Linked DNA regions of Kluyveromyces lactis. The protein of the gene in region 2 purifies or fractionates together with the protein of the main gene of each other region. This does not show direct contact. Links are inferred from orthologs where the notes say so. Each region holds a gene or a part of one and is shown on either strand. Other genes may lie near its edges. The genes, in order: VMA22 and VPH2.

Evidence for each region.
Region 1: the proteins of VPH2 (region 2) and VMA22 purify together in Saccharomyces cerevisiae (affinity purification with western blotting; 3 studies listed by BioGRID, with this or other methods). This does not show direct contact. The link is inferred for Kluyveromyces lactis from reciprocal best matches to the Saccharomyces cerevisiae genes VPH2 and VMA22.

Annotation. Positions count from the first base shown.
Region 1 is NC_006039.1:1,282,551-1,298,751, forward strand, and holds VMA22 (Vma22p), read right to left. Parts: upstream 9,247-16,201; coding exon 8,734-9,246; downstream 1-8,733. Other genes in the region: 2-dehydropantoate 2-reductase PAN5, read left to right, coding at 1-868; SUM1 (Sum1p), read left to right, coding at 1,601-4,456; RNA-binding RNA processing protein RPP1, read left to right, coding at 4,898-5,755; KLLA0_C14740g (uncharacterized protein), read left to right, coding at 6,276-6,836; GIC2 (Gic2p), read left to right, coding at 7,308-8,414; SRB7 (Srb7p), read left to right, coding at 9,467-9,898; PMT7 (putative dolichyl-phosphate-mannose--protein mannosyltransferase), read right to left, coding at 10,163-12,052; KLLA0_C14850g (uncharacterized protein), read left to right, coding at 12,603-14,486; TFIIH/NER complex subunit TFB3, read left to right, coding at 14,792-15,748; CGI121 (Cgi121p), read right to left, coding at 15,940-16,201. UniProt on the Saccharomyces cerevisiae protein: Required for V-ATPase activity.
Region 2 is NC_006038.1:1,118,749-1,135,047, forward strand, and holds VPH2 (Vph2p), read right to left. Parts: upstream 5,451-16,299; coding exon 4,833-5,450; downstream 1-4,832. Other genes in the region: KLLA0_B12804g (WD40 repeat domain-containing protein), read left to right, coding at 1-1,285; OAC1 (Oac1p), read left to right, coding at 2,358-3,317; SRT1 (ditrans,polycis-polyprenyl diphosphate synthase), read left to right, coding at 3,649-4,734; MYND-type zinc finger protein MUB1, read left to right, coding at 5,918-7,795; CLD1 (carboxylic ester hydrolase), read left to right, coding at 8,227-9,507; long-chain fatty acid-CoA ligase FAA1, read right to left, coding at 9,939-12,044; RNH1 (RNA-DNA hybrid ribonuclease), read right to left, coding at 12,629-13,741; KLLA0_B12980g (uncharacterized protein), read right to left, coding at 14,095-14,967; KLLA0_B13002g (uncharacterized protein), read right to left, coding at 15,425-16,299. UniProt on the Saccharomyces cerevisiae protein: Required for vacuolar ATPase assembly.

The DNA.
Region 1 (16,201 bases), on a different chromosome or scaffold from region 2:
CGATAATTTGATCGTCACTTGTAAGACATATCAAACGGCTGAGGCATTGAAAATGTTTCTGCCGTACCTTCACAACGACACTAACATCATCATGATTCAAAACGGACTCGGTGTCGCTGAAGTGTTGAAGGAACAAGTCTTCACAGGAAGCGACTTACAATCAAATTTGTTCCAAGGTGTCATTGGCCATGGTATTTTCCAAGATAAAGAGATTAAGAATCAGTACAATCATGCAGGGTTTGTTGATTGCAAGGTCTCGAAATTACCCGAAAATGATGAAAATATTATAGAAACGTTAGACCAATTGAATGAATGGAAGCAAAATGATCTGGTTAAAGCTTTGCTAACATTGGACCAATCGTTGGCTGTCATCCATATGACGTACCAGGAACTTTTGTTGGGACAATTAGAGAAGTTCCTAGTCAATTGCTGTATCAACTCTGTCACTTCAATTATAGACTGCATGAATGGAGAATTAGCCAATTGTTCAGAACCAATCTTCACTTCGATCATCGAAGAGGCTCTTCATGTATTCCAAATCGCATATAAACCGTTATTCGATTATCCAGAGACCTTCAGAAATACTGAAAGTGGGAATCTACCAGAACTAGACGTCACTGGCAGATTGAATTTAGAAAGAACACTGAAAAATACCATTTATATGGGATGTATAGTGAATGGAAGTAACTCATCTTCAATGAGACAGGACGTCCTACATTTAAGAGAAACAGAAATTGATTTTATTAACGGCTACATCGTGACGTTGTGCAAAAAATTCTCACTACCAGAATCTGACGCTAAAGTCAACAAAACCATACAGCAACTTGTGAAATTGAGATTGAAATTGAACACGTCGAGAAATATATAGACATTAAGAAAATGTGTATCATATATATCATATAGTGTAAAAATAAACCTTCATGAGCTGATCACTTTCCCTTTCTTGCGCTCTCAGTATTTTGACATCTTTATTTGACAATAAATTCTTTTTCTTTTTTACATTTATTACCCCGGACAGTTACCATTTGGAGTGTAAATTTCAATTGAAAAACCCACTTTAACAGCAGCAAAATAAGGTACGACATTATTTTGCGACTTTCACTTGCAATATATTAGGTTTATATACCTGAACATGTATGTTTATATATTTAAGATTATCCAAAAATTGCCGCAAAGATCATCCATATCTCGAGAATCTCGTAAACGATACAAAAGTCCGCTCATCATATTGATAACCATTGCTCGCACATCAAAAGAAATCAAATTCAACTTTAACACATTCAGTATTCCGCCATCTTTTCCTTACAGTAATTTTTTTTTTTGGCAGCATTTTCTGAGTTTTTTTTCTACTTGATTATTATTGATTGTTTTTTTCCATTTGCACTAAGGTGAAAACGACGAAAATTGGAAAAGTGAAAGAAAAAAAAAAGCGAAATTGAAATTCAATAAATAGTTAAACATCGTTATTGTCGAGAAACAGAACGACAGTGGTGCTTTACAGGGTACTAGTGACTATTTAACGGGTGTAGATCGGATTGAATCTGTTGTTATAGGTTTTGAGTCAGAACAGACGAAACCTGCTTGCTGAATCAGAGACAGTATGGATTCTGATACTGCGATGACAGGCCATGACGATAATAATGGTGAAATTGGAATTGGTGAGAATGGTGTTTCCAGACAAGAGAAGGATAGTTCTGTAGTAGATAAAAAGGACAAGAATGGTATTTCTAGTGTGCAAGCGGGTTTAGAAAGTCAACGAGGTACAATTCGAGAGCTTGAGAAAAAAGTTTCTGAAATTGAGTCTATTTTACCTGAAACTGACGAAATAATTCAAAAGAGTATTGAGTCAGTTGTGGTGACTTTGAAGAACTTATCGCATAACCAGCAAGTTTTGGAAACGAAATTCGAGGACCTTTTAAAGAACCAGGTGAATTCAGATGCGGCCATAAACGATCTATCCGTGGAGATCATCAAGATCAACAGGTTGTTATCCGATAGGTTAACGATGTCCGCGACATCAGGTGCATCGTCAGGGACGATGGGAACTGCTGCGTATGGATCACCCGCATATATGTCATCTGCAAGCGTCTCTCCTCCTCATAGGGGACCTGGTAGACCACCTAAGAAGAACACTTCGATATTGTCCAATGGCGATAAAAAGGCGAAATTGCCATTCCCAAGCGATCATATATCAAAATCAAAACGTCTTTTCCTGGACCCAAGTAAAGAAAAGACGGAGTCCAACTCAGGTTATGATGCAGATGGGGTTGGCAACAGTCGATCTCGTAGTTCTGCTAACGTCAAGCAAGAGACTCCTCAGGAACCAAAGAAACGTAGAGGTAGACCTTCAAAGAAAAGCACATGGGAAGCTCAACTCACTTCTTCACAAAGAAAGACAAATGCTGCAGATAATGATACCAAGGAAAGGCAAAGCTCTAGCTCTAGACGCAAATCTCAAAGATTGAAAAGTGGTTCGCGCCAATATGATGAACAATCGGATCTTTCATCATCGTTTTCCGGTATGTCTGATAATGAAGGGCAAGATGATGAGGGCGATGTCACAGACGATCAGAAACAGTTGGCTAATGATATGCATGACTCTCGTTCCAGAAAACAGAAGGAGCTCGAAATGAAAAGAGATGAAAGAGAAAGGATGCTAGTCACCATGAAATATAGCGATCGTAACGTTACCAGGAATTTCATGGAACTCAACAAAGATCTTTTCATGGCCATGAAACAAGAAGAACGGAAGAAAAGAATGACAGCGGTGCCTTTCAGCGTTCCAGTACCGTTGGGTAAATATCAACTTTCAAGTAAACATTTGGAAGAGTTATCAAAAGTACCTTTCTCCCTGTCGCAAACAGCGGAGAATTCTTCTGGTGCTCAATCACCTTCGTCTAATCCTCCAGACTCTGCTCGCTCTGTGACACCACAAACAATTATATCAGCATATAACAATTTGGAACAACCAGGCAATGTAGGCTCAGTTTCTACGGCAAGTGCGGATGATGTTAACGGTCAAAAATCGTCGTTACTGAATTCTGAGCACAAGGATCTGAACGGCTCTGTGAAAAGAACATCTTCGGACATCGGTGATCGATCTCAAATGTCCAACGAAGCAGAGGGACCACGTAAGGTCAGAATCTTGTCTATCTTGAATGATGATGCATCTACTGGTGTAAAAACAGAAGAGAATGGCTCGGCTAGACCTCATCTGTTAGACATGCCAAATTCGACTCCTCAAGGATCTGCAGACGCATTACCAAGTTCTCAATTATCTGTTGATTCGACAGAAAACTCGCAGGATAACTTTTCCGTCACCACTTTACAATCTGGTGGTGAATCACCAAATAAGAAAAGGCATCTAACATTGCATGATCGTCGAAAGATGAGCAGGATGATTCCGATGTTACCAGAAAAGAAAGATAAAAGGGGAAGACCAAGCTCTAACAATCAATCCCAAGAAAATGCAGCGTCTTTGTTAATGTCATCCCCTGTGGAACTTTACTGCCGTGAAGGTTTTTTTTATAGAAAAGGTTCTACAATTCCAATCACAGCGGGAGAGTATTTGGATTTGAAGTTCAGACACAAAGAAGACGAATTGATTAAATTAACAATGCATGAAGAAGATTACGCCGAGTTAACAAGACAGGATAGAATCAACGCGTATTTCCTTAAACCAGACGTTGAGATTGAAACCTCAATGGCTTGTCAAGTTTTGTCCAATGTCATATTAACCGAGAGATACGTCAATTCATTAGAATATTTCCTGATGGAATTCCGTTGGGAGAATAGATTGGTAAGTTTAGGTCTAAAGCTAAGAGAATCTAAGAGAACTTGGCAAAGACGGAAAGCCTTATTTGCATTATTTGAGTTTTGGAGAGACAAGTCGAAAGATAAGAGAGGTTTCCACAATTATACATTGTTGCATGCAATCAAAGAAATGGAAAATTACAGAGTCTTCATCAATAGGTCGGTTTCATGGTTTTACAACCACATTACCCTTTTAAAAATGATTCTTTTTGATTTATGTGATAATACGAATACTCATTGGAGAGAATGGATGTTCGCCAGAGGCACTGAACTACCGCTTGTTGGTAAAAATGGCGTCGATGTCATGAATATTAATAGAGAAATCGATAATATTTTGGTTCTTGATTTCCTAGAAGATGGTAGCAAAAATTCAAACAAGAAATCAAGTTCTATTCCATACAAAGAAAACAGTGAAGGCCCTCTAGAACAGCCTTATGTTACGAATGATGTTCCCGCAGACAAGGGAACAAAGGAATTACACACTGAGCATGTCCAACAACAGTCAGAAACCCCAGTTCCGGAACTGGCTGGAAATAGAACTGAAGAAAATACAAACCATGCTACTGGGGCGGTAGCTGTAAATCAAGATCAGCACTTACCTTCTTTACCGAAAGATTCAGAAGATGTGAACTCTACGCAATGATATTTATGCACATAGATCATAATGGTTCCTTTTTGGGCGCTGTTTTTCATCAAACCTATTTTAACGGACATTTTATCACTTTATGGAACAAATAGTAAGGTATGTACTCTATAAATAAACTGACAATTATTCTATTTAGATAATATTGTTCTCATACTCAAAAACATTGTGACATGGCCGATTGGATGAAGTTTAAAGTTGTATTTTTCAACAGTTGGGCTTTCAAGTAAGGATTGTACTTCATAGTATGTTATAATATCTTCAAGTATAATTTTTTCGGAAAAGACATTACAATAATCTACCAAAAAAAAAATCTAGTAAATAATGAAACATGAGCATGAGATGAGGTATGCTGGACACTCAAATGGAAACAAAAGTTTCTGTTGAATCACTTGTAAATACTCCTTCCAAATTTGCAAAGCAAAATAGCTATTTGAAAGGATGTTAGTTGATTTAAACGTTCCTTGGCCACAGAAGGATTTTGCAACACCGCCTTCCACGAAGGAGATTAAAACGCTGCACAAGACTCTAGCGACATTGCATACACTAGGGTACACTCACATAGCTTTAAATTTCACAGTAAACCAACAGGATAAATTCCCAAAATCAATCAATGATATGAATCCTATCGATCTATCGCATTTTGATGAACTAGTGAAATCTACGGGATTAAAGCTATATACAAGAATCACAATTATTATAGATGACCTTTCAAAAGGCCAGCCGTTGACAAAGATATCGCAAGCTTTCGATATTGTGGCAGCCCTTCCAGTCAGTGAAAAGGCTGTTACTCTCGTAACGTCTAGCTTGGATGTTGATGTGCTATCATTTTACTACGACAAAAGGCTTCCTACACTTTTGAAACATCACATGATGGGGGGTTGCATTAAGAGAGGAGTCAAAGTAGAAATTGTTTATGCTAACGCTCTTCGAGATATCAGAACACGTAGGCAGTTCGTATCTAACGTGAAGAGTGTGATCAGAACTTGCAGGAACAGAGGAATCGTGGTCAGTAGTGGAGCAACCAGCCCACTAGAATGTCGTAATGTCATTGGAGTTACAAGCATTTTGAACTTTATTGGGCTTCCGAATGACAAATCTCGTAAATCCATGGGCGAGCTTGCTAGTTTGGTACTTCTAAATGGTAGATTAAGAAATAAGAGCTATAAGCAAGTCATTTGTATTGGTAACGAAGATGTAGTCAATGAAGATTTTACACAGAATTCATCGTTCAAAATAGTCAAAAGGAAAAACCCAGATACACTGGAAAGTGATGACTCGAAAAGAACAAAAAGCTGAATTACCATGAACTTAATTTTCATACTGCACTTCTACTGTTGAATCTCTCGAAGCATTCAATAGTACCGATAATACGATATATAATAGATTTTATATTTATATAAGGAAAATAGTACAATAAGCATTAAGCAAAAGATGGATACAAGGTAAATTTAGGAAATTATGGGTAAGAGTAATGATATCGGTGATTTCAATCCACTTTGAGTTCATCTTTAACATGTCCAATTTTACGTTTAGTTTCCAAAGTCAAACTTACTATCAAGTTCTAAACCCAAAGTTATTTTTCATTCTAATATCTGTAAAAAGAGCAGGTTACTGTTACCCGCAACACATACATGGTGTAAATCCGATCAAAAGCTCAGCGGCTATTGAAAAGAGTATAAAAGTATCCAGCTTGGAGACTTTACGATTTTCTTCTTCGAATCATAAACCGCCTTACATAGAAACGGTCTATTATATAAAAAACACAGACAGTACGTAAGGCAGTAACTTGGGAAAACAAGTGCCACACAAAGTTAAAATGGGCGAGGTGAAGAGTTACTTACGAAAATGGAGACGCTCTTCCATTCTTAAAAGAAGCAGTTTGAAGGATAAACGGAAAGAAAATTGGGAACAACGTATAGAGAAGTCCTTGAGCGAATGCGATGACATTAAAAACTTATTGGCTGGTCGTCCAACGACACCTGATATTGCAAGAACGAATAATAGTACATTCCTTTCCAAGCGCTCTAGGGCTTTTGTTACAGAACCGTTATCGAACCAAGAATTGGATAAAATCAAATATATGAATTTTGCAATGGAGAGAGATTATAGAGCAGGTACTAGGCCAGTGATACCGAGAATGGATTCAACCAACAGACGAAAATTGAGCGTAAATCTCACCCCGACATCGATTTCAGCAGATGACTCCGAGAATAATGCGATAGTGAAAGACTTTTCTGAGTTCATTGAAATTTCTTTCAATAGTTTGAGCATTTCCGATGAATACACACCCCAACCAAGCTTTTCCAAAGAGTCCGAGGAACCTAGAACCGCCAGTTCTAAGAGTCTAGAAAGTCTATGGAGTAAAAATGTGAAATAGTCGTAATTGGTAACCATGTTGGGTCAACTAATGACTTATCTAACCCACGAAAAAAAGCCGTAGAAACTTGAGAAAAAATAACGGCCGCCAAAAGAAAAAAAGAAGACATGAAACCCAAGAAAAAAGAAAAAACCGGATTGGCGATGGTGAATTAGAGAGGTTAGAAAACATTAATTTTCGATCAACGAAACGTATCTGCATTCCTGAAGAGGGTGCGAAAATGAAAAATCGTGTTTTTACCTAATATAGGAATTCCTAAATTAACTGAATCCAGTAGTAGTTAACCATAGATGCGAAAAATGTCAGAAAATTGTGAAACCTAGGAATGCATGAAACATTACCACTGTGGACGCGGCCGATATATGTATATATAAACGGATAAACATGATCCAGGGTACAAAGGCCATGATTTGAATCATCAGAAACCAGGCATTGCCGAATAAAACAACCAACAGATCTGGGCCAATACTTATGATGAACGTACCTCAGATCAAGTCGATCTGGCTCGATGAAGACGATGAAACAGAAAAATTATATGGTTTACAAGCTCACCAGCTTCTGGATTCTGACGATGATGATGAATTGGGCGTTGTAATGATCAATAGTGATAAACCTGTCTTAAGTAATAGGAAAAACATTAATCTTCCTCCATTGCCGCCAAATGCGTATGATAAACAATCTGGAAAGAAATCTTTCAAGAAGAAGAAGAACAGCCTCTTAAAACTGTTTCAAAATAAATCAAGTAAAGAAGAACCTCCTAAGTTAAAAATTTCTGTCCCATTTGGATTTAATCACATCTCACATGCAGATTCTAAGGCAGGATTTGAAATGCCTACTGCAGATTCACCACCACCATCTAACAGTCACTTACAGGATATACCGGAAAATACCAAATTTCCGACAAACTCAACAATCAATTCCCCAACGCAAATGACTAAAGCTTTCGTAACAGATGCAATTCCATATGCTAAACACCATCTGGTTTCTAGAGGGTCATCTACAAAACGTTCTTCGGTTGGATCCAGTACGTACTCGAACCAAAGAGTGACATCAACTTCAACAATGGCTACCTCCTTGCTAAACGATTCGCATATGCGTTCCATTTCAAAATTAACTACCCTAGAGAAGACACATTTGAAGCATAAATATTCTCAATCAGATGCCAGTGAAGTAGATGTCGATTTCCTAAAAAACTATCAGTTCCCAACTTTGCTAGAAGAACAATCAATCCTCCAGGTATCAACACCTGAAACGGGAGACAAGAAAATAGACAAATTCCAATGGGAAACACCAGTAAATTCTGCGGATCTTTTAGAGACTATGCTTTTGGATGACTTGAAATCAGTACCAAAAAAATCAATTACACCAAAGCACTCATTGAAAAGAAACTCTGATCCAATTCTGACACCAATTTTAAGGCCATCAGAATACTTAGACTCTCCAAGAACCAGAAGGTCAGTTGATGATGTTTTATTATGCTATCTACAGCCTAGTGATGCTGGATCGTCATTGGATGAAAGCTCTAGTGAGTTTTCCTACGCTAGAAATTCAAACATTTACTATAAATCTATTCTATGATCTTCACCCGTGGCCAGGGCCATTCCATTCACTTTCACAATTGTTCTCAAGAAAATATACCCATCTTTCACTCGTTATTGCATTTACTGAAATCAGCTCTCTTTTTGATACAGATTAACCCTTCGTCGTTCATTTATTAATAATTAATCCCCAATCTGCATGTGTACAGATATACACTCATTGTACGTCTTTCAATTGGCGCCATCCAACGTTATTTTCGTTTCCAGTAAACTGTTCTTTCCAAATTAGCAATTGTACAGATAGTTTTCTTTTGTATTAACTCTGATATAAGATCATTCCCATAGCAATTATAAAGTTCTTAAGCTGAATTTGACAGAGTCCCTAGTGCGTCAAGTAGACCATTAAGAGTACGTCGAAGTTCTAGTAGTTGATAAAGTACCGGCATCGAAGCTTTGAAAGATAATTGACATTGTTTCAAAGAGCTTGGGATTGAAAGGGCACCTCCGAACATATATATAGGATCCTTCTTCACCTTTGCCAATAGTTTTTCTCTTTGTTTTCTCTTCTTTAAATTCTCATTGGTTGCTTCATCTTTCTCAGGAATGATTTCTTCGTCATTGGCAATATGCAACGGCTCTTCAGTCTCCGAAACAGAGTGCTTGTCATTAATGGAGATATACCTGTTTCCTGTATAAGTTTCGTCCCAGTAATCCTTACCATATGATCCTCGAAGTGTGTTCTTATTGTGATAATTCGCTCTGCTCAACTGATGGTAACCTTCTTCAAAACTAGCTTGCAACTGCTCTAATAGAGAATCATAGGTTGCAAGATTCTTAACAATGAGTTGATATATGTCATCCTCCGTCATCATTGGTTTCCTAGCGTCTATTAATATCCAAATCGTGGCAGTTTCTTCTCATATTACGTATATTATTCAGTCATAAACGTTTTAAACCAAACTTTTGAAGTTGTCTGAAATATTTGTAACTTAATCATAGTCAATGATTTATATAAACGAATTCGAAGGTGAAAGAAAGTTAGCAATATTGCGACAAACCAGCTCCAGTAGAGGCAAGGAAGAGTGTACAAAAATGACCGATAGATTAACCCAGTTACAAATATGTTTGGACCAAATGATGGAACAATTTTGCGGTGCAGTAAATTATGTCGATAAGAACCATGGTTTTGAACCAAGTAACGATTCAGAAGAGCAGATGTCAGATCCTCAGGCCCACATTGTTGAGGAAAAGGAATTTGAAAAGAACATAGATGAATTGACAACAGACATCATACTTAAAACAAGGCAGATAATGGCTCTAATAGATTCTCTACCCGGAGTAGACGTATCTGCACAAGAGCAACTACATAGGATAGATTCACTACAGAAACAATTGATCAAAATGGAGAAGGAAAAGATAGACGCGATAAAAAGGAAGGACGCTTTGCAAGAAAAAGTAAGAACACTTACCCAAGACTTTACGATTGGCATTAATGAATCGAAGACAGAAGCACGCTTAGTATAAGAAAGGAATCATTTTGAAATCTTCGGTAGAAATTGGGTCACATGTTAACGTCAAATTGCGAGTAAGAATACTTTTACATAGTGTCTAATGTATCAAGTGGTATATAGTAGATATTTAGCTTCTTTTCCTTTTCTTCTTCTCCGAAACGATGTCAGACAGATTGTCTGACATCGTTTATTTTTATAATGACACGCAACATCATCACTAAACATAGCATCCGCATGCCCCGTCATGCCACCACCGCTCGCTGTGATATTCTTGGTTCTATAACACAGAGAACTGTGAAAGAATGATCACCGCAAATAATAGAGAGGGCATATACTGGTTAACGGAAAGATTTCTGTGCAGGCTGTAAGTAAAAATGTATAAGTGCAGGATCCAACCTAAAAATGCCTCCAAGGTGACTTCTCTTTTCATTAATTGGTTTGCAGTGGTATTAAGTAAAGTATCTTCAAAAATATTCCAAGATAACCAGGAATATGCTTCCATGAAAGTGTACACGCCCACAGATACCGTAGAAGTTATCCATAAGATTTTACCGATTTGGTTGTTATTGTCGAAAAGAATCGGCCAAGACAGGCAATCAGGTGGAGACATGCTCGTATTATCGATGTTTTGCCTTTTGTTCAATCTGAATTGACCAACAACGTACTCAAAAGCCAATTTATAGAAAGGGTATTCAGGGGCCCATTTGTATTTCTCAACAACTCCAGCCTCAGGCGAGCTGACAAAGTCAATATAAAACAATGCTCTATTGACTCTGGCAGGATCGACACAGAGAACCTCTTGACGCCTGTCACCCCAATGCGGAATTTTGATTTCATGTGAAAGCAACGAACAACGGCGAGCTGGATTCTTTAAAACAATGAATTGTTTGAAAGGTCTCAAAACTTCTCTGAATGATGCTTTCCCTTGAATTTCAATTTTCCATAATTCATCTTGATCCCCTTGATAGTCACTGTCACCCGTTACTGATATTCTCTTATCATATTCTTTGTCTGATATTGGAGGTTTTTCCTCAGAAGCTCTCAATAATTGACCTGTTTTCTTGTTTCTCAACTTCACCTTGTCCGTTTGTTTTACTAATGCGTTCGAACCTGTCTGTTCAGTGTTTCTTCCTTTATTAGATTCAATGATCCAAAAGTTAGCCTCATCATCTGGATCGTCAGAAACTGTTACCAATGTGTCGTTAGATTTAGGGTATGGTATTTCTAAGGCTGATAGATATCCGCCCAAAGAATTAACATGGCGAAGCCTAATTGAACTGCCGTAAATGATGGAAGATGGAATATCATTGTGCTGGCTCATCGAATAATGCTGGAAAGATGACGACATGTACGCTATTGAGTTTGACGATGTTGTGAAACCACCAATTAATGATGAGTAAGAGTACCATAAAGACATCAAGGGAATAACGACGAAGAACAATAACCTACAAAACATAATGGCAAAAAGTTGTCTGTTTTTAACATCCAAATCACCCACAACAATCCAAAGTGATTTCAAAGAAACTATAATGAGCCATATCCAAGAGACCAACCCTATGAATTTCCCACTTATAACGAAAATCAATGACATCGAAACAAGTGTTATATTCATGTACCAATCGACGGAAAAGTCTTTGGAGGCCTGAAATTTCCTCCAATGTAAGATTAGCAACGTTAAGGCTAGCAAATGATAAGAGTCAAAGTTGAGCGTATAAATTAAATCTTGGAAACTTGATATCTGCGAGAACATTATCGTTACTAGGAAGCTAATCATTACTGACACGCTAGATTTCCTTAAAATACCGTATAACGTTACCAGGACGCTAGCCAAGACCACGTTATTTGCTGTTTTCCAGAACTCAATATTCAAAGAGTACATATCAGTAAGCTTCGCCAGCACCTCAATTAATGTTGGTACACTGGTTGCAATGAAAAACTTACCCTTTATTCTATCAGTAATTTGATTCCAAATCTCAAACTCACTAGTAGAAATATCGCCATATCTATCAGAATGAACCATTGAAAGATAACCAACTGTTAAAGCACTCAATGCCAGGTCCCAGACGAGGCTATCTTCATATGGTAGCGAATCACCTTTGATAAATGACTGGTAATCATGTTTGATATAGGCTTTAAATCTGCCTTTTCGAACTGGGTTTGTACTCATCGTTAATCTCTGACCAGGATTGATCTCTACCTAGCAACAGGATCCCGTGAAGTACACTAAAGATTGATATTGTTTCTAGCCAATGAAAACAAGCTTGTTTGGATCGAATGTGGTAAGCATCAGTTCACTTTCCAACGTTAATCGAGGTTCCTTTATTTTTGTATCTAAGGTGGTCATATGAATCTATTATTAGTTGAAATATTTCAAAGTCAGTTCAAATGACTGTCACGTGAGAGAATGATCTATTTTAGTTTCGCAGCACGATGGATGCCACCGTGAACCTCCACGCATACACTGAAAGCAACTCGGAAGTTAATAAGCCACTATCGATCCAATAGATTCATCAACAGGTTTGTTCTCGAGAGCTTTTTCGCGTTTGTGTTTGTTCGAGTTTTCAAATTTGACACAAAATATTCAATAAAGACGTCAGTTTTATCAATATCGTAATCACTAAGGATGTCTGTCCAAAAACAAAACGGCTTGAACCTGAAACTAAACTTATGAATAGCCAATAGTTCAGAGTAATTTCAACCAAGTCATCAACTATACAATGAGTAAACCCAGGCTTGGAAATCCGAATAAGTTGCCACATGCTCTTGGGCGGCAGTTTCTAGATGAAAATTCGAGCACAACGACAGATAGCGAAAAAGAGAGTTTTGACTTCACAGCATTGATGAAGAGGTTGAAAGAAACCAGGAAGACTACAATGCCAAGAAGAAATACCAAGGAAAATTTGTTGGCCACTACTCAACATGATTTGAATGAGTATCCTTATCCAATTAACAAAAACAATGAGAATCAGAATTTGGAAATGAATAATAGCGATTTTGATAATGATGATAGCAAGGAAAACGATACAGATTCCGAGATAGAACTGTCATGGAGGCCATTAGATGAGATTGAATTGAAAAGAAGAGCCATTAATAAAACTGATAAACTTTTTAAACCGATGGGTGATTTGAATGGCGAATTTACATCTGAAAAGATAAGTGAAAAATGTGCTAAACTTCTTGGGTATCCTCTTCCTGATTACATCAAACGTCCACAAAGAGTTAGCTTAGTTGAAAAAGGGAATGTCATTGAATTCAAGGACTATCAAAATCAACAGAAGTCCCTTTTTCACAATAAAGATTTCAAATTCGAGTATCCTGTGAAGCGTGGACATGAAGAGGGTGAGGACGATAAAGAGTACTTTCAAGTAGAAGAAGTACTTCGAACCATCAAGGAAGACATAAAGCAAACGTATTCTAAAGTTGATAACATTAACAATTTCATTCAAAGTAGGATTGATACCGGCCATAAAGAAGCCAAAGCAGAAGAGAAAGAGAAAGAGAACAACAAGATAAGAGAAGAAATACCAGGAATGTTCCCGCAAAAAATTGTATACCTCAATCACTTTATTGATCCTCCTGAAAAACAGCCAACTTATTTCAATGCGCTTATGAACATGAAATGGATAGTTTCATGGCCAGTGAAATGGAAAGTTGCTTATTTTGTCACCGTACATATTTTGTCGTTCTCAGACGAACAATACACTTTCTCAGGTAAATCTTACGACCTACTGACTAATACCAAATACCTAACTTTATCTGAAGTTGATAGGCTTTTTGGTTGCTATATGACTATTTACGTGATATCAAGAAACATATATGATATTACTTTCTCCATCAGGGAAATCTATGATTATGCATACCAATACTTAATGGAATATGATGAATTGCATCCAATTTTGAGAAAATACTGGAAAGAGCTATTCATATATGGCCTAATGAATGCGATTCTTGTTTCAATAGGAGCTTCTGCCATACATTTATGTTTGGCTCCTGATGGAAATTCTTCTCCGATTTACACCTGCCTCTGGCACATAGGATTTGGTTCTTCCCAGAGAGTTGGATTTGCAGTAATGCTCATAATATTTTATATTGATTTGACACAAGAGGGTTTGAATAGGTTTAAAAAGCAAGCGGATGATCTGAAGGAACAGGAAGATTTGGCACAAAGAAGGGTGAACAAGAATCAGAACGCTAACATTTTCAAAGATAAAAGTACGGTAATGAATTTTTGCAAGAGCAGAGACGTAGATGAAGACATTCTTCTGGAGTCAACCCCGCCTTTGAACCCACCATCAATTTTACATAGCCCCTTGCTCAAAAAGTCCACAAAAGTTGAACAGAACGAATCAATAAAACTGGTTTCTGTATCAAGTGTCGAACACTTTGAAGAAAGCTACGTTCCTCTTCTGAGAGAAAGATTAGATGAAGAAACCAATAAAAGCAGTAAAACAATTCCATCAAAAAATTTTCTACTTAGTACCATGGTAAAGATAATCGTATTTACATCAACCTTCCTTCAGCAACCTGTTAAGACAATGAAGAAGTTAATGCCATATAAAATATACAATTCTGTCAGAAAGGCAATAAACGCCCCAACTTAGCTAATAAAAAATCATATATACACAATATAACCACATTTTGCTCACCAACGCAGTAGGTCTCCTCAGTAAATGCTCCCTTTACTGTCTTCAGTATCATTTGCCTGCCGCATAAGTAATCCTTTTCTCATCATTTTGTGATTTTAGCTGTCTCTGTCATACAATATCATTCAATATCGGTGGTATAAAACAAGAAACCTTTATTTGAAAAGTTGATGATAAATAATGAACAAATTGTAAGGACAATGAATAAGAAATAGATATCAAACTAAATCATCTGGGACTACGAATCAACGTGAATCGTCATCATGGATGAAGATGAGAAGAAGGACATGTGTCCTATCTGTAAAACAGACAGGTATCTATCGCCTGATATGAAGTTTTTGATCAATCCAGAATGCTATCATAAAATTTGTGAATCATGCGTGGATCGTATATTCAGTTTGGGTCCTGCTCAGTGTCCATACGAAGGGTGCGATAAAATTTTGAGAAGAAATAAGTTCAAGACCCAAATCTTTGATGATGTAGGTGTCGAGAAGGAAGTTGATATAAGAAAACGTGTTTTCAATGTGTTTAACAAGACGCTGGAAGATTTCGATAACAACCAAGACGATTATGATAAATACCTAGAAGAAGTGGAAGATATTATATACAACTTAGACCATGGTATTGATATGGAGAAGACCGAGGAGAGGTTACGAACCTACGAAGAATTAAACAAACAGCTAATCATGGCAAATTTAGAGCGGAGCAAACAAGATGTCGCTAACTTCGAACAGAGACAGAAGTTTGAAAAGGAAATGAAGTTAAAGAAAAGACTACTAGAGAAACAGATAGAAGAAGAAGAGAGGGCTAATAGGGAGTGGGCAAAGAGAGAAATTGTCAACCAGCTCACAGTGAATGAAGATGCTGAGGAAGTTATTGAAAATGTGAAAAAGACTGTCAAGCTAAAGAAATCCTCTGCCAGAAGGAAGCTCGAAGAATTAAATAAAGTGTTAAGAAACAATCCTTACATGACAATGACAAATGGTAGAATGAAGAAGAAAGATACTGTACCGTTCACACCATTCAATGGGGACAGGGATTTACACAAAAGATACGAATTGGTTGAAAACGAGTATAATGATTCTTTCATCAGAGACTTACAAAAGAAGAAGGAATATATAGCCTCAGGATTCAGGGCGGACTTCATTTATGATAGAATGTTAACAGAGGCATTCATGGGTCTTGGTTGTATCATTAGCGAAGAATTACAATCCTCTTAGTTGTATCGCGTTGACGGCAAGTGTTGATAACTCTTCGTTTGATACATCTCCTACTTTATTCAATTTGTAATTCTACCGAAAAAAAAAACACATAGTACAATGGTAAAGAGCTCGGTAGCTCTTTATCCTCATCATAATCATATAGCATTTAGGTTAGTAATCTATTCATTATTAAGAGTCTTCTCATTTGTTCATAACTTATCACAAGGAATACATACCGTTTTGATAATTTCTTTATCGGCAGATGTAGAAAACTCATCATCCGAGACTGGAACTAGGTCCCCATCAACGGAAGCATTGCCATCATAGGGTTCTTCATTACTGTCTTCAATGATTTTGATCACAATTATATCAGTTGTTCCTTCCTTTATACCAAATCTGTTCAATGCATCGCCAATGTTCGAACTAGGAGATAGTGATAAAATGCATTCAGAATGGATAGTTCTTGTCCGC
Region 2 (16,299 bases):
TGCACGTAATTATAAGATTTCGTCCAAGGATGTCAGTGATTGGTTCCTTGTCAGCAGCAACGATTCAAGAATAAGAATTTATACGTTAAATCAAGAGTTTGTTTCGGTGATGAAAGGTCATTCCAACGAGCATTCCCAAATCACGGCACATAGCACAGTCACGAGGTCGGGAAAGGCTTATGTTGTTAGTGGTAGTGAAGACCACTGGATATACTGCTGGAAGTTATCTGATGAGGTAGTAAAATCAACTGAAACGTCCAGCAAGGACTCAAAGTCGACCCGTTCAAGATCAGGTTCCCTGCGCAGTTTCTGTAGAAGACGCAACAACGATTCTGTGGCATCGGAGACGCTTGACGCTGTTTTGTCTCGTGGCTACACCAAAAATCATCAAGTGTCCTCAAACTCAAACTACATTGGATTCCACGCGCACCATCATCCAATTACATGTGCTACAGCGGTGCCCATGCAGGTGACAAAAGTTCTGTCGTTGAGTAACGATTTAATCTGTGAATTAACGATGCAGTTTTGGGAGACTACGGATGACTTTACCATGGAAAGCGCCTCAAAGAATGCCAGAGCCAAGAAAAACGGGAACGCCATTTCATCTAATGATGGACAGAAAACCGATTGCAGAAGGAAAATCAGTATTGATAAGACGATTCCTAATGTAAAGGGGAAAAGTGGTGTGTCTGGCGCTCAGTCAAATAATGTACCGAACATACAAATATCTGATGGTGACAATCGTACCACAAACGCTGTCAATGGTACGACAGCTGCTAACCCACCGTCGTTGATAGAATTTATCGGAGGTATCGTAGTGAGTGCTGATACGACAGGTGTGATTAGAGTGTTCCGGAGTGATATATCATCTAACGTTCGTAAAAAAGTGCTAAACAGGCTTAATGCCATTGAAAAGCAATTGAAGGAAAACGGTGAGGGGTCCGTAAAGCCAAGAACCTCCGGTGTCAGCAGTGTTGCTGCTGCTACCAATGGTAGTTTGAGCACTGCAACCACGTTTGTCGGTAATGGCAGCAATGGTCACAATGTACATTCAATTGAAAGGCCCACGCCGTTCCCAATGCAAGATTCTTTACCATTAGTCGATGAATCATCTTCATCATTAACAACATTACAACAACAGCAACCACATTCCCAATCTAGGGTTTGTAATGTATGTGGAGGAACACGGTTTGCAACTGATCAAACACTGTCGTTCAATCAAGCTCCTCAAAACGTGAAATACTACTGTTTGGACTGCGGTGCGTTGTACACCTCATTGAGGTGATATTGTAGTACTAAATAAAGTATCATAGTGATAGTTCCAAATTTTCATAGCATTTGTTTTCTCGGCCAAAATAATCTTCTTTCTTTATTTCAATACGTCTTTGTACTACTATAATTTAGAGAATCCCTAACTCCAAATTCTTCAATCTTACTCTCCAAAGTTTAATCACAGATGATAAAGTACTATTCCGGATTGCATTAAATTCGACCAACTTTACTGAACATTCGTGACATCGGAGCATTCAGGAACGGTACTGAAATTAATAAAGCCTCTTCATACGCAAAGCTCCGTATCCTTCCCTTCCTGCTTCGTCTGAGGAGTGACCGAATAATGCTCAACACCCTTCATAATCCAGAGGACGTGGGAAGTGTCGAAGAAACAGAGGTTTTGCACAAAAAATCTCGTAGACACAATGATCCACAAGAAACACTTCCAACAATATCATATCTTCTCGATCATTGATACTGTATAGCTTATCCGTTCAAGCAATGCGAAATATTCTACCGTGCAAAATCCTCTACTGTCTTTAGATGGTGCAGAAGGATATTTTGTTCCGGAACCGGCTTCGAGTCACGAGGCATTACGAACGATTCGTGACTAATTTCACATTGAAACCTGTAGTAAAAAGTTTCACTGAGCTCTTTCTCTCACTTCACGACAAGAAAAACAGAGAAATCGCTGTGGAAGATGATCGGAGATATTTCTTGGTGGTGGATGGTAACTGTATCAACATGGAACACTTCATCAATCAGAATCTGTTATATATATGCCTGATGGTGCTTCTTGGTTTTATTCTGTAACATGCATCAATTGTGACGTATCAGCCTTAAATAGTTTTGTTCGGGTAGGCTTCTTTAGTTGATCGTAGATAGACAAGTGGAGGAAACGAAACAACGGACATAGAGAGAGGAAGTTTTGATAGTAGATGCAAATAAGATCTAGTTAGATTGTAGAAATAAGCAACCACTCGACTTTTGACTAAATTGAATTGAATTGATACAACTGGATTTTGAAACTGTATTGGTTTATAAGGAAGAACTGAACTGAACTGAACTGAGCAAAGTACACAGCGATGTCCCAACCACAAGAAGAGAAACATAATCAGAAAACCGCCGCTCACAAGGTGAGTAAGTTTGGGTCCTTCGTGGCCGGTGGTCTTGCCGCATGTATTGCAGTCACTGTGACGAATCCATTTGACTGTGTTAAGACCAGAATGCAATTGCAAGGTGAGTTACATGCCAATGCTGCCAAAGTATACACGAATCCAATTCAGGCCTTTGGAGTTATCTTCAAAAACGAAGGTATCGCTGGGTTGCAAAAAGGTTTAGCCAGTGCTTATCTTTACCAAATAGCGTTAAACGGATCGCGTTTGGGATTCTATGAACCAATTAGAGGAATACTTAACAACGTTTTCTACCCTAACGTGGAATCACACAAGGTTCAGCACATCGGTATTAACGTTGCCGCCGGTGCTACTTCCGGTGTCGTCGGTGCATTCATCGGATCGCCATTATTCTTGGTCAAGACCAGGATGCAATCATATTCCAACGCCATTCATATTGGTCAACAAACGCATTATACCTCTGCTTTCAACGGGTTGGCAACTATCTTCCGTAGCGAGGGTATTAAAGGTTTATTCAGAGGTGTTGACGCAGCAATGCTAAGAACCGGTATCGGTTCTGCTGTTCAATTGCCTATCTACAACATCTGTAAGAACTTCCTCTTGAAACACGACTTGATGAACGATGGGACAGGTTTACATCTTTTGTCTTCCACTATCGCAGGGTTCGGTGTCGGTGTCGCCATGAATCCATGGGATGTCGTGCTAACCAGAGTCTATAACCAAAAGGGCAACTTGTACAGCGGTCCAATTGACTGTTTCATAAAGACAGTGAGAAACGAAGGTCTCTCAGCGCTATACAAAGGTTTCGGAGCTCAAATTCTTAGAATTGGACCTCATACAGTCTTATGTCTAACCTTCATGGAACAAACATTGAAATTGGTATACTCAGTTGAAAGCAGGTTCTTATAAGATCACAACTACCTTGTTGATAACAAGAGGTTTATGCAAAAGTGAAAGCCTGATGCGTTTAGTTTAGTTTTAATGCAGTTTTAATTTAAATTAGTTAACTATTCAGTTGATCTTTAATATTCATCCAATGTATCACTAAGTCGCATACATGTTTCAGGCGTTTCAGGATGCGGCAAAGATCGTTGTCCCCTTATATGGTTCGTGTTTTAAACCGTTATAGGTTAATACATATATATATATAAGAAGATCTTTTGATTTGAAAGCGCTTAGTTATTTCTTCTAACAACCACTTCGTAAAGAACGAAAATAGGAAACAAACAAGGCAAAAGCGATGACTTTTAAGCTATTTAAGGGGTCTAAGGGCCAAGAGAAACCGTTAGTCACATTGGATGGTGAGAATGTATCTCACTTGTTCGAACAGAACGATGAAAACCTCAATAAAGTGAGTTCTTTAAGTTTGCAACAGATACGTCAGCGGCTAAATTACAAGGATGTAGGATCGTATCCATTCTCAAGGCTATTTGCATGGCTACAAATGTTCATGGTAAGGATCCTCAGGATGGGTCCTGTTCCCAGACACTTGTCGTTTATCATGGATGGGAACCGCCGTTATGCAAAGAAATTGGATCAACCTGTGAAAGAGGGTCATAGAGCCGGAGGCGCAACATTAATAGACATCTTACATATCTGCAGAAGGTTGAATGTGAGTAGTGTGAGTGCATATGCGTTCTCCATTGAGAACTTCAATAGATCTCCTCAGGAAGTCGCGACTCTCATGGAACTCTTGGGATATTATATCGATCAGTTTACTGAACGTGCAACAAATGCTAAGGATGAGTTGTACGGAATTAGACTAAGAGTCGTAGGAGATCTTTCATTATTGAGTGAAGAGTTGCTCAAGAAGATTCGTAACGCAGAGAAATTGACTCGTGATGGACAAGAGTTCGTGTTGTACCTTGCCTTGCCCTACACATCGCGTAACGATATTGCACATTCTATGCAGGTTACCACCGACAAATGCATCAATTCTAACGAGGATATCACAGAACAAGCCTTGACTGATAACATGTATTTCGAACAGTACTCCAATAAATGTGATCTATTGATTAGAACAAGTGGACACACAAGGTTGTCAGATTATATGCTATGGCAGGTCCATGAAGGTAGTATTATCGAGTTTGTCGACTGTCTATGGCCAGATTTTAATTTCTGGAGGCTATATTGGATAATGTTGAAGTGGAGTTTCTACCAAACTTGGCAAAACGCCAGTCAGTTGCCAGATCCTGTTCGTACTAGAACTCGCGTGTTTCCAAAAATATCTGGAGCTCTACCGATTGAAACTTTGAAAAGAACTAAACGTGTTGCACTAGACTCTTTACCTGCCGCACCATTGGCCGTTTCCGTTGACCGGAAATGAAATCAGAATTTATTTTCCCCCATACCTCTGGCTATCCATATTACACTTTTACTTGCCCTCTTCATACTGACTGTATAACCGAAATTAAAGTCTCTTTCTTACACTAACCTTTTCACCACTTTCCTAGTAACTTTCTTCTTACGTTCGGTGGTTCTCGCCTCTTCAATCTTCCTGTTATAAACGTTGTACATTGCCACATCTGCTGTTAACACTAGAAGGCCACTGAATAGACAGAGCAATACCCTGACGTGAATATCCCATCCTGTTCTGGTCACGTACCAAACAGCGTAGATGGTTCCGAACACTGTCAATAATACATTGACTACTGCCGATACCTGCTCCTTAATCTCTTTGTTAATCTGTGCAATTGAGGGTTCCTTGTCAGCTGTTGAGCCGGCCAGATGCAATGAATCTCGCTTGAGCATCTCTTGGTACTCTTTCTCCTGTTGCAGTGCCTTCAGATTTTCCAACTCAGCTTTGAATGACTCAGAGTATCCCTCACCAGGAACTCTTTTCTCCTTGTATCGAAGTTTCCCACTCTTCAATAGCTGTTTCATACTTACGGTGGCATCATCCCTCCAGAACTGTTGGTACAATTCCGATAGAAGCTCAAATGATATGCTATTTTGTTGTAAACTTAACGATGCCCGATGATCTTCTTTCAACTTTTCAAGTCTTTGTCTTAAGAGCCCCTCGTCGATGGTAATGTCAAACATATGTAGAATTGTCTTATTGCTAGCCTTGCAGTAGATACAGACCCTAGTAGATAACTTCGTTTGCTATTTCATTCATAATTTCTCAAAGTTCCATTCTTCTTTCATTAGCACTAAACCTTTAAATTAATTATCTTTAACTGAGATGTTTTTGTTGATATTTGTCTATGCAATGGCAAATACAATATATGCACTGGATAAGAAAGAAACCATCACGAAATTAGTTGCTGCTACTGTACTGTTGATAGATAGATCGGCTAGTAAGTGATCGTGCTACTTGTACTATTTCAGTGTCTTTTGTTTCCTTTCAACTTCTCAGAGCTGATTATTATACCGATAAAAGGATTTAATCTGACACAAGCAAAGTAAACCATTGATAGAAGCCTGTATTAAGGGTGGCGATAAATACCTACTTCCAGATAATATAATCATATCTGGTGTGCATTAGCTGGAATTACGGTTTTTAAAGAATGCGAGAGACCAATTACAGATCGGTGACTGGTAATCGTGCTACCGTTAGTATATCTCAGACCGTTTACGATAGAAGAGCTTTGGATAATGTTTCTGATTTACCATTAATTAATTCATTGAACCATCTGGCGTTCCTATGCTCCACGTCGACCCTGATAAGAGAGGCAATGTCTCGTGACGGTGCGTTGGAGCGGTTGGTATCAATTTTACACGAATGTTATATCCCTATAACGAATTTGCCACAGGTTATGGTATCTTCGGCACAGAATCAATCCAATCCATTACAAACGGTCAAGAGAGACAGACATCTGGCATATTTATCATGGAAATGGACGTTGGCTTATCAGTGTTTGGTATTGACTGGTACGAGAGGTACACTTGGTATAAGAGAGCAAGTGGTGAAGTCCGGCATAATTCCGATTATTGCTACTGTATTGGATAACTATATGATCTATTGTAAGAATTTCGATTTCATCAACAATACGGCCATTCCCTTTACGTTTAGTGAACTAGCAGATTTGGATTCGGATCTATTCCAGTTTACGGACGATGAATTGAGGAAATCAAATGAGAAAGTGGATCCCAAGGACTCTTACTATAAGGATTTCATATCGATGGAAAGGTTGAAATTGTTATTGGGACCCACCGAGAACCAATTTGAATTTGACTTGGAGAATGTAGCTGGCCTACATTTGAAACCTAACTTTATTACAGAATTGGATACAGATTGGCAAAGTCTTGCTCAAGAAGAGTTATGTGTACCTTTACCGGGCTCTGCACTGGAAAATGTCATAATCTTGCCACCAAGAAGATTCTTTTTGGGTAAAGTGATTCCAGAGCTAGATGATGTTACATGGGCTGTACAACTTCTGGCATTCTTGACTAAAAACACTGCGGTGAAGCCAATACTACAGAATACAAATCTCGTCGGTACACTTTCGTTCAGGCCGATTCTTGAGAATGCAAAGATCAGAATGTCAAAAAATATGGAATTGGACATGACACCCCTAACGTTGCACGTTGCCGGCGAAGAAGAAGCGGATGATGAAGACGACGATGAATACGACGAAGAAACTGATGAACCTCCGGAGGATAAGATGGACCTTTCACCAGACCTCACTTTAATAGAAAAATACTTCAAAGAGATTGAGCATCTTTGCCTTGTGAAAGACACCGAAGAGGATGAAGAATATAACAACAACAATGTCGATATATTTGATTTCAGGTTGAGGAAGGAGGAGTCGTTACATGATAAATTCAAGGAATATTGCCAGCAGCATGAATTCTCGAAAGAATTGACCGATGATGACTGGGATAAGATTTTCAATAGTGACACAATGAACCTATTCGCCCTTGTAGAAAGGTTTACCGTCAAGGGCTCCTTAAACGAAATCGTGCACTACTGGAGCTCCGTGGTAATGAGAAACTCGTGCAGGAAACATGAGGCTACAGGAGTCAGGCAGTGTGCTAATTTCAGCTGTGGGAAATGGGAAGATCATCCAAAACAGTTCCCCAAATGTAGAAGGTGTAAGCGCACCAAATATTGCTCAAGACTGTGCCAACTGAAATCATGGGAATTTCATAGGTACTGGTGTCAAGAATCAAACTCAACAAACACCACTGGAAATAGTACAGGAGTTCAAACGCCTACCAGAGACGCTTCTGAATCAGACACGGATCCAGAACATCAGAATACCCATCATCACCACCATCATCATCAACCGCAACAACAAAACCCAACAGAAGCTACAACAATCCCTCCAACTACTCCTTCCACAACAGGCTTTGGAGATACGATCATCCCAACACCAAATACAACCACTGAGCGGTACCGAACACCAGGTGATACCGATCATCACCTTAGCGAGGACACCTAAAGATCTTTACGGTCACGTGTCTACTCATGATAACGTAATGGTCGGGTAACACCATTTCCCTCTTCAGCATCGCATGGTTTTTGCGAATTTGTTGGGATGTTGAGAAATCGGAAAGGCTCAACATACGTAAAAGTAAGAGAAGAGCAGTTGGTTTACGAATAGATGGTCATGAGATGACTTTATTGTTTTGAAATATAAGGTGTTGTTCAGGAGCCAGTGAAGATACATTTGGTGTTTTTTTCTTTTCACTAAGAACGCACTTTTGAAAGTTCCTGTTCAGGTTCACGGTTTTTTTATGTGATTTTTCTTCATAGTGGTGAAAGAGTTATAGCTCAATTGATCTGGAGACGATCGTTTGTTACAAGCTTTACCTTATAATTAAAAGTTTTACTAGAATCCGTTTACTTTGTTGTGCGATCAAGCGTTAAAACATGTCTAGCCAGTCTTCTTCTTCCCAGCTTTGGAGGTTAGCAAGACGCTACAGAGAAGTCATTGGGGTGTTCAATAAACTACAAAGAGAGCATGTAGGCGTCACTGCTGGTACTGGTAATGTAGGTTCCACGAATAAGAAATCTGTTCGTGTTAATACAGTACGTAAATCTACTGCTCCTATTGGTCTTCCCCTGCTTCAGATTGTTACTAATCTGCATAAGTTGTTCCCATTATCTTTCGCAGAGTCTCTTAAAGATTATAAACAATACAATATCAATAAAGAACAATTCCAAGAGGATTTATTATCAGTGTTACCGTACTATCCTGAGCCATCTGCGAGGTTTTCTTCCAAAATCATCAAGACTCCTATAGATGCTGCTGGTAATTACATTAACGAATTTCAAATCACACCGATACGGCCAGAAAGTGATGGAAAACCATTGAAACATATAATCTTGGTTCATGGGTATGGTGCTGGTTTAGGTTTTTACTTGAAAAACTTTAATGCGTTGCTATCAGAAAACGTGGTGGTACATGCCATCGATTTACCTGGTTATGGCTTCTCTTCGCGACCAATGTTCCCATTCCATTATCCAAAGGATTCGTATCTTGCGGTAGAAGACTACTTCCATGATGCCTTGCACAAATGGTTCGATAAAAAAGGACTTATATCATGTTGGGAAAATAATTACGTGATTGCACATTCGATGGGTGCATACATATTCTCGCTTTATGCCAACAAGTATAAACATTTCAAAAAGTTATTCATGTGCTCTCCTGGAGGAATTTCCAGGAACAAAGATATGCCCCCTCCTCCATGGTGGTTTTTAAAGCTATGGGATCAAAATATTTCACCGTTCTCGTTGGTTCGAAATGCTGGCCATGTGGGCTCAAAATTAGTTAGTGGGTGGACAGCTCGTAGATTCGGTCTGCATCATCCAAACTTTGATAAGTTGCACCATTACACATACGGTATTTTCAACCAACCTGGATCTGGAGAATACATGTTATCTTTCATGTTAGGTTGCGGTGGATGGCCAAGAGTTCCTCTAGAGACAAGACTCTTTACTGAAGAGAACTTCAACAGCAGTCATTTGGATTGGGTGTGGTTGTACGGTGATAGCGATTGGATGGATATCAATGGTGCCAGGAGAATAAATGATTTCTTGAGGAAAAAATGCATCAACACCAAGTTGGAGATAGTTCCTAATGCTGGTCATCATTTGTACTGGGATAATGATTCTTTCTTCAATAATGTTTTGAGAAAGGAACTTGTTTGAGAATTTTGAGTTTTGGTGCTACCTCAATCATATACATATTACGACGTTTGTAGTTTATGTTTTTACAAAAATGCATGTTCAAATATTCTCTTTCAATTCAAGGTGAAGACACATGTGGTGTACTAATGCTTGTCTTATTGTTTTAGAATAATTAAAATGAGTTAAATGCTAAAAGTCGTTATAGAGCATCTATACACCAATTAGTTAAAAACTTTGCCAAAAAAAGCATTTCATCAGTCGGTTCTCTTTACTTCCGTAATAATACATTATACGCCGGACATGGAAGTAAGTTAGTAGATATAGCTGTCTCAAGTTTGTGGAAATCATTATAGTTTGTTTGTCAAGGAAAAATTTGACATTCGATACGATAAAAAAAAGGGAAGACCATGAGAATTACATGGTTTTTGCCTTTCAAACAGGACATTGTCAATTCAGTTTGACTTAGAGTAAACTTCGTCAACATCGTCTTGAACAGCAGCAAGGATCTTCTTTCTTTGTAGTTTTTGAGCAGATGTGACAAATCCGTTTTGTGGAGTCCATTCTTCTTCGAAGATAACAATACCTTGGAGCAATTCAATACCGCTCAGGCCTTGGCTCTTGCCAACCTTCCACATTTCTTGGAGGATTTCGTGCTTCAAAGTGTCATTGTGGTACAAATGGGTAACATCTTCGCCCTTTTTCAGTAGATCCATCTTGATAGCCTTCTCGGTGATGGCAGCCTCATTTGGAACAATGATACCGACGGGTTTAACCTTTGTTTGATCAGCGTAAACACAGATGTTTTGAACAAATGGACAAGATCTGTAAACGGATTCTAACTTCTCTAATGCGATGTATTCACCATTCTGAGTCTTCACCAAGTTCTTTTTACGGTCAATAATCTTTAATTGACCCTTTGGAGTCCATTCCGCAATGTCACCAGTTTTGAACCAGCCATCATCTGTGATAGAACCCTTAGTCTCTTCCTCGTTTTTGTAATATTCTCGAGTGACAGGTTCACCTTTAATCCAGACTTCACCTTGAGAATTCTTTGCGAAGTAGCCCAATTCTTCAACGTCGACCAACTTGACAGTGATACTACCGACAATGTCACCAGCGACTCCGTATTCAAAATGTTCTGGTTGTAAGATAGTTGTGTTAGCCATGGTTTCAGTCAAACCATAACCAATCAACATTGGACAAATCAAGTTTGTGATAAACTCTTGTGCTTCTCTAGACAATGGGGAACCACCGTTCAACACAAATCTTAAATGACCACCGGTGGCTTCTCTGACCTTCTTGAACAAAATGTTACCTAGAGTGTCACCACCTGGAATGTGGAACTTCTTCATTTTTAATTTGGCATAGTAACCTGTCCAGAACACCTTTTGAGTTAACGCAGGAAGCTTGTTAATTTGTGCCAAGATCCCCTTTCTAACACTTTCCCAAACAGCGGCAACACCAACCATGATAGTTGGTTGGAACTCCTTGATGTCACCTTGGCAGTTGCGAACAGATGCATCGGTCAACGTCTTAACGTTCGCATAACCAAGTGTAGCGCCCCAGTAAAAAGTGATCAATTCGAAAGCCAACTCAAAAATATGAGCCAGGGGCAAAAATGCAATGACACGATCTGTGTGACAAACGTGTTCTGGTCTGTTACTAATAATGGAAGAGATACCGCCTAGACCTGCAACAATATTAGAATGCTTTAAGATGACACCCTTTGGATCACCAGTGGAACCGGAAGTGTACATGATAGCTGACAAATCTTCAGGGGCTGGAGGATGTGGTTCAATTTCATCTCTAGCCTTCTTACCCAATTCGATGACTTCATCCATGGAAAGAATCTTAATGTCTGGTCTAACCTCTTTAATCTTAGCCAATGCGTCTGCAGCGTCCTTGTAAAGCTTACCCTCATCCCTTTTATCCTCTGGGTTCAACTCTTCAGAAATGATTAGATATTTCAAGTTTGTAGCCTCTTGTACAGCGTTATGCAACCTACACAACAATGCATTGTCAACAAACATACCCTTAGAAGCGGTTTGAACCATGGAATGGATTAAACCCTTTTCACCCAAAGTATCATATGCAGTCACCACAGGAATGGCCTGAGACTGCGTAGCCAAAAATGTCTTCATCCATCTATGAGATGTTGATGCAAAGATGTGCAATTTATCCTCAGAAGCCGGTTGTAACCCCAATTTCACTAACCCACGACCATAATCATGAACTAACTCATTCAACTCCTTATAAGTAGTGTACTTGTACGAACTCAATTCATAGAAAAACCACTCCTTCTCAACTTCTTTGTCCTTGCCGTCAATCTTCTTAGTGACCATCTTCTTCTCCCTATGAATGTCGATGATATCTCTCCATCCAACACTTTTAAGGTCAGCGTTCTTTTCAAAACATTCGACGGCAAATTCATAAACAGTAGAACATTTCATACCGGCAGGCCTCGTAATTGGAGCCTTCTTCGCCAAAGCATTTCTTCTTGGAGCAGTCTCATGCTCATTAGCAGCAGGTCCGACTGGAACTGAATACTGAACAACCATTGCTTGCTTATTTGTCCCTATTTTCTCTCGGAAATCTTAAACAGCTGATTCCTTATATGACCTTAAAAACCGGATCTCAAAAAAACCGTATTGTTAGCTAGTCAAAGAAATAAAGATACCTTCTTTTATTTAGCTCCTGTACTTAGCTTATATATATCAAAAGCCAATAAACTAAGTCTCTTGAATAGCAGAAAACGAACTGGAAACCCTTTATGAAACTCCTATTGCTACGAGTTGTTTTTATCTGTATGTTTGTTTGTTTTGGAAACTAAGATGACGTTTATAAGAAATTTCAAATTTTCATTTCTTTCCTTTATTTTTGTTGAGAAACTTTGGTGAAAAGTTGGAGTTTTCTGTGTTCAGTATGTGGTGTATGGGTTTATGTGGTAATAGTTCATAGCCTTATGCTCATCAGGGATCTAATCATCACTCTAATAATCATCTAGTGTCTATTTGGTGATGAAAGATGGCTTGGCATTCTCTAAGTTGGACCCTTGCTCTCTCCCTTTGCATTCCCCCTTCGACTTTGATATTCATTGTGTCTGGTTGACAACTCAGGGTCCAAGTAATTCCTCTACGCTTATCTAATGCCTTTTCATAGCTCCTTCTTTAGCCAGTTGATCTGCAATCTCGTTTCCTGGAACACCGGCGTGTCCCTTGACCCATTTCACTTCGAGACCGTTGTCTTTGACAACGTCTTTGTTCACTTCGTAGAATTGTTTAACTTTGGTGTAATTTTGGACCATTGGTACAATTAGATCTGCGTTTGGGGCCTTTTGTAGTTGTTGTGGGTCCACATGGTTCGCATAATCGTTAAGCATTTTGGAGACATATTCGCTGTCGGTATGAATCACATATTTGTTCAGTTTTTTGCCCTCTTTTAAATTGTCCCAAATGTCAGAGAGAGCATCAGATACAGCAGAGATTTCAGCTCTGTTGTTGGTTTGGTTACCATTCGTCAATGGTCTTGCGATTCTTCTATCCTCGCCCTCGAAATATATACCGTACCCGGCTCTTGCACCCTCAAATCCATTGTTGAAAGAGGATCCATCGCAGTAAACGTTGCATGGTGCTGCTGGGACACGGACTTGGGAACGGCGTTCAGGTGTGATTTTGTGAGCTTGTGAGAATTGGGACGCCGTAGTATTGAGATGCGAATATATCGTTTCGTTAGAGGCACGTCCTTGTATGAAATCGTCTGCCTTAGAAGGAGTGTCAAATTTCCTGTAGGAAAGGTTTCTACGGCCTTCGACGTAGCTTTTGCAATCGGCCCAGTTGGTAAACACTTTGTTTGGTACTGAGCTGTCACTACTTCTCACCGCATAGAATGAGGAAGATGAAGGTGGTGGTGGTGGCGCTGCCGCTGCTGCTGCTGCTTTTGAGTGGTAATTACTATAGGAGCTGTGACTGTTGTAGGGTGCTTGGTTGTAAGTAGATTGCTGATGGCCTCCGTAGTGCCCGTAACTGGACCCTGAACTGGATCCAGAATACGACCTGTAGGATTTGGACGATGTAGATGGGAATGAGTGTCCTGAGCTACTGCTGCTGTTGGCAAATGCTCTAGCTTCCGCTGGCGTATCGAATCGTTTAAACTTCGCGTTCGAGTAACCGTTTACTGATTCTTGACATTCAGACCATGAATCGAAAACACCAACGTTTCTGCCATTTGCAACGGCATAGTAGCCTTTCTTACCCATAGTTATTACAGATAGACGTGGAGCCTGCACCTTTGAATCACAGACTTTGGCAGTCTTTGCTTGTTGTAGTGTTGTGTTCGTTTAAGGCATTTCTAGTAAGTAGTTGACATTAGACGACATTTCGTTGGAATTTAATATTTGTAAATACACAATCAGTAAACAGAACGAAATGGCAGCTTTACTGATCTGAGAGGGGGTACGGTAGCTAAGGTCAAGTGTAATGGTGGACTCCTAATGCTTACTTTTTCCGCCTCCGTAGTTCCTTTCGACAAGAGTCACGTGATGTAATCATTATTTTACATCATTATATGTACGTACGTTAGAATGTGATACTTAATAACTAGTTAGGCAGTCTATTTGAGGAATGCCCCGTTGGTTAGCTCCATTTCGAGATCGTAATCGACTTGGAACTCTGTGTATAATGTTTCTGGGTCCGAAGTGTTGAAATATGTGAAATCAGCCTCCTCATCTCCAATCAATTTCTTTTCAAGACCAGATCTGACTGCCGATTCGATGAGCAACTGAACTTGGCAACATTTCTCCATCAAGGTAAATAAATAGCCTGCCTCATCCGCCGTCTCTCCAACGGTCAAAAGCCCATGGTTTTGTAAGATGATTGCTTTGTTATCACCCAATGCTTCAGCCAGTCTTTGTCCCTCCTCATCTTCCAATACCACACCACCAAACGACTCGTACACAGTATGCTTCTTGTAAAACATGCAAACATCCTGGTTTAACATTTCTAATGGTTTACCAAACGCAGACCATGCCTTACCATACGTGGAATGGGTATGACAAGCAGCATTAACATCTGGCCTTGCCTTGTGTAAATGAGAGTGGATCTTGAAACCTGCAGCATTGATAGCAGCCTGGTTCCCATCAGGTAAAATGTTACATTCCTCATCGACATGCACTAGAGCTGACACTGTCATCTGAGAGAAGTGTAAACCCAAAGGATTGATCCAGAACGTGTTTCTGTCTACTGGATCTCTTACAGACACGTGACCAGCAGCACCCTCACCAAAACCACGTCTACCGAAAGCTCTAAACACAGCAGCCATATGCTCCAAAGTATGTCTACGCTCCTCGTATTTGTCCTTGAACTGTGGTCTGATATGCTTGTACTTGATTCCACCAGATGAAAGGTTGTGAACACCTTGAGTGCGTGCACTCAAGGTGCCAACTTCTTCGCTCTTAACCTTTTCCTGAGTAGCTGTGAAAGACATGATATGTTATGATTTCCCTGACGTACTTGCTTAACGGATTTGGTAACTTCAGTGATAATTGTCTTTGCTGGATCAATTGTTCAGCTAACTTCAATAGTGGTCATATCCATTTGTATAATATTGATACATCTCTTCACTGTATATATATATATATATAAATGTATATGTATGTGGTTATCTCGCTGTCACTTACCAGATATAAAAGATGCCCAGTTTCTCCACATGTAATATGATCACCACTGAGCTGACTTGCCTAGACAGGAATAACGTCTATGCAGTCATCGAGATAACGGCATTCGATAAAGGAAACCTTAAAAGGAAGCACATTCCGTTTACCCTTTTAGGTTCCATTTTTCTTTTTTTTTTTTTCCCTGCAAAACCTTTCCATTTCTGTCTCGATTTTCCTTATCACAATACAGAACCAAAAGGAGAAGGTACGGGTAGGTTTACATAATCACTAGTCGTTGGAGGTGATTCTGAGTTTTGCCACCGCGGCTCGAATATCACGGTCACGTGATTGAATCTGGCTCATCACGTATTTGTGGTCGCCACGCGACCACAATATCCGCAGAGCGACCATCACCGATTGCGATAGAGAAGGTACGGACCTTTGGTCTTCTTCTTCTATGGTTTGTTTCAATTCACAGGTTTCATTGTCGAACAGACTGGCAATTAGCATGAGTTGCTGGTATTGGTCGTTCTTCAATTTGTCTAACGGAGGACCTTCGCCGTTATTGTGGAAGAAGTCTCGACATAGAATATCAATCCACATGAATACTATTTCTACTTCTAGTGAGGTTCCCACTGTGTTGTTGTAGTTGGAATTATTGGAGAACGGTGATGACCACCCGGTGAATCCCGGCTTTTGTAACACTTTTTGGAATCCGGACACGGCGGTATCCCAAACGGAGGAGCTGCCCCTGGTTGAACCGCTGTAAGACATTCTGTTGCCTCTACTGCCAAAATTATACTCTGAATTTGCACTTGACGATATTGACGCGAGCTGCAATGGCGGAAGCAAAAGAGCGTCTGCAGCAACAAGGATTTTGTTCCATACTTGTAGCATAATCTGGTGTAATAACGCAGTAGGAAGTGCTTGCGCCAATACTGTCAAGTTCTCGTTCAAATGATCGAAGAGTGGGACAAGGCTGTCATAGATGTCATCATCGGTCGGACGTTGTCCGGGGACTGAAGATGAAAGAGACATGCTCAATGACTTCTTGGAGAATGAGTCATTAATACATGGCTCAAATCTGTTTGTCACTTGTTTCAAGCTCTGGGTCAATATGCGTGCGACGATTCTACGTGTCTTACCAACGATACAATCAGGTT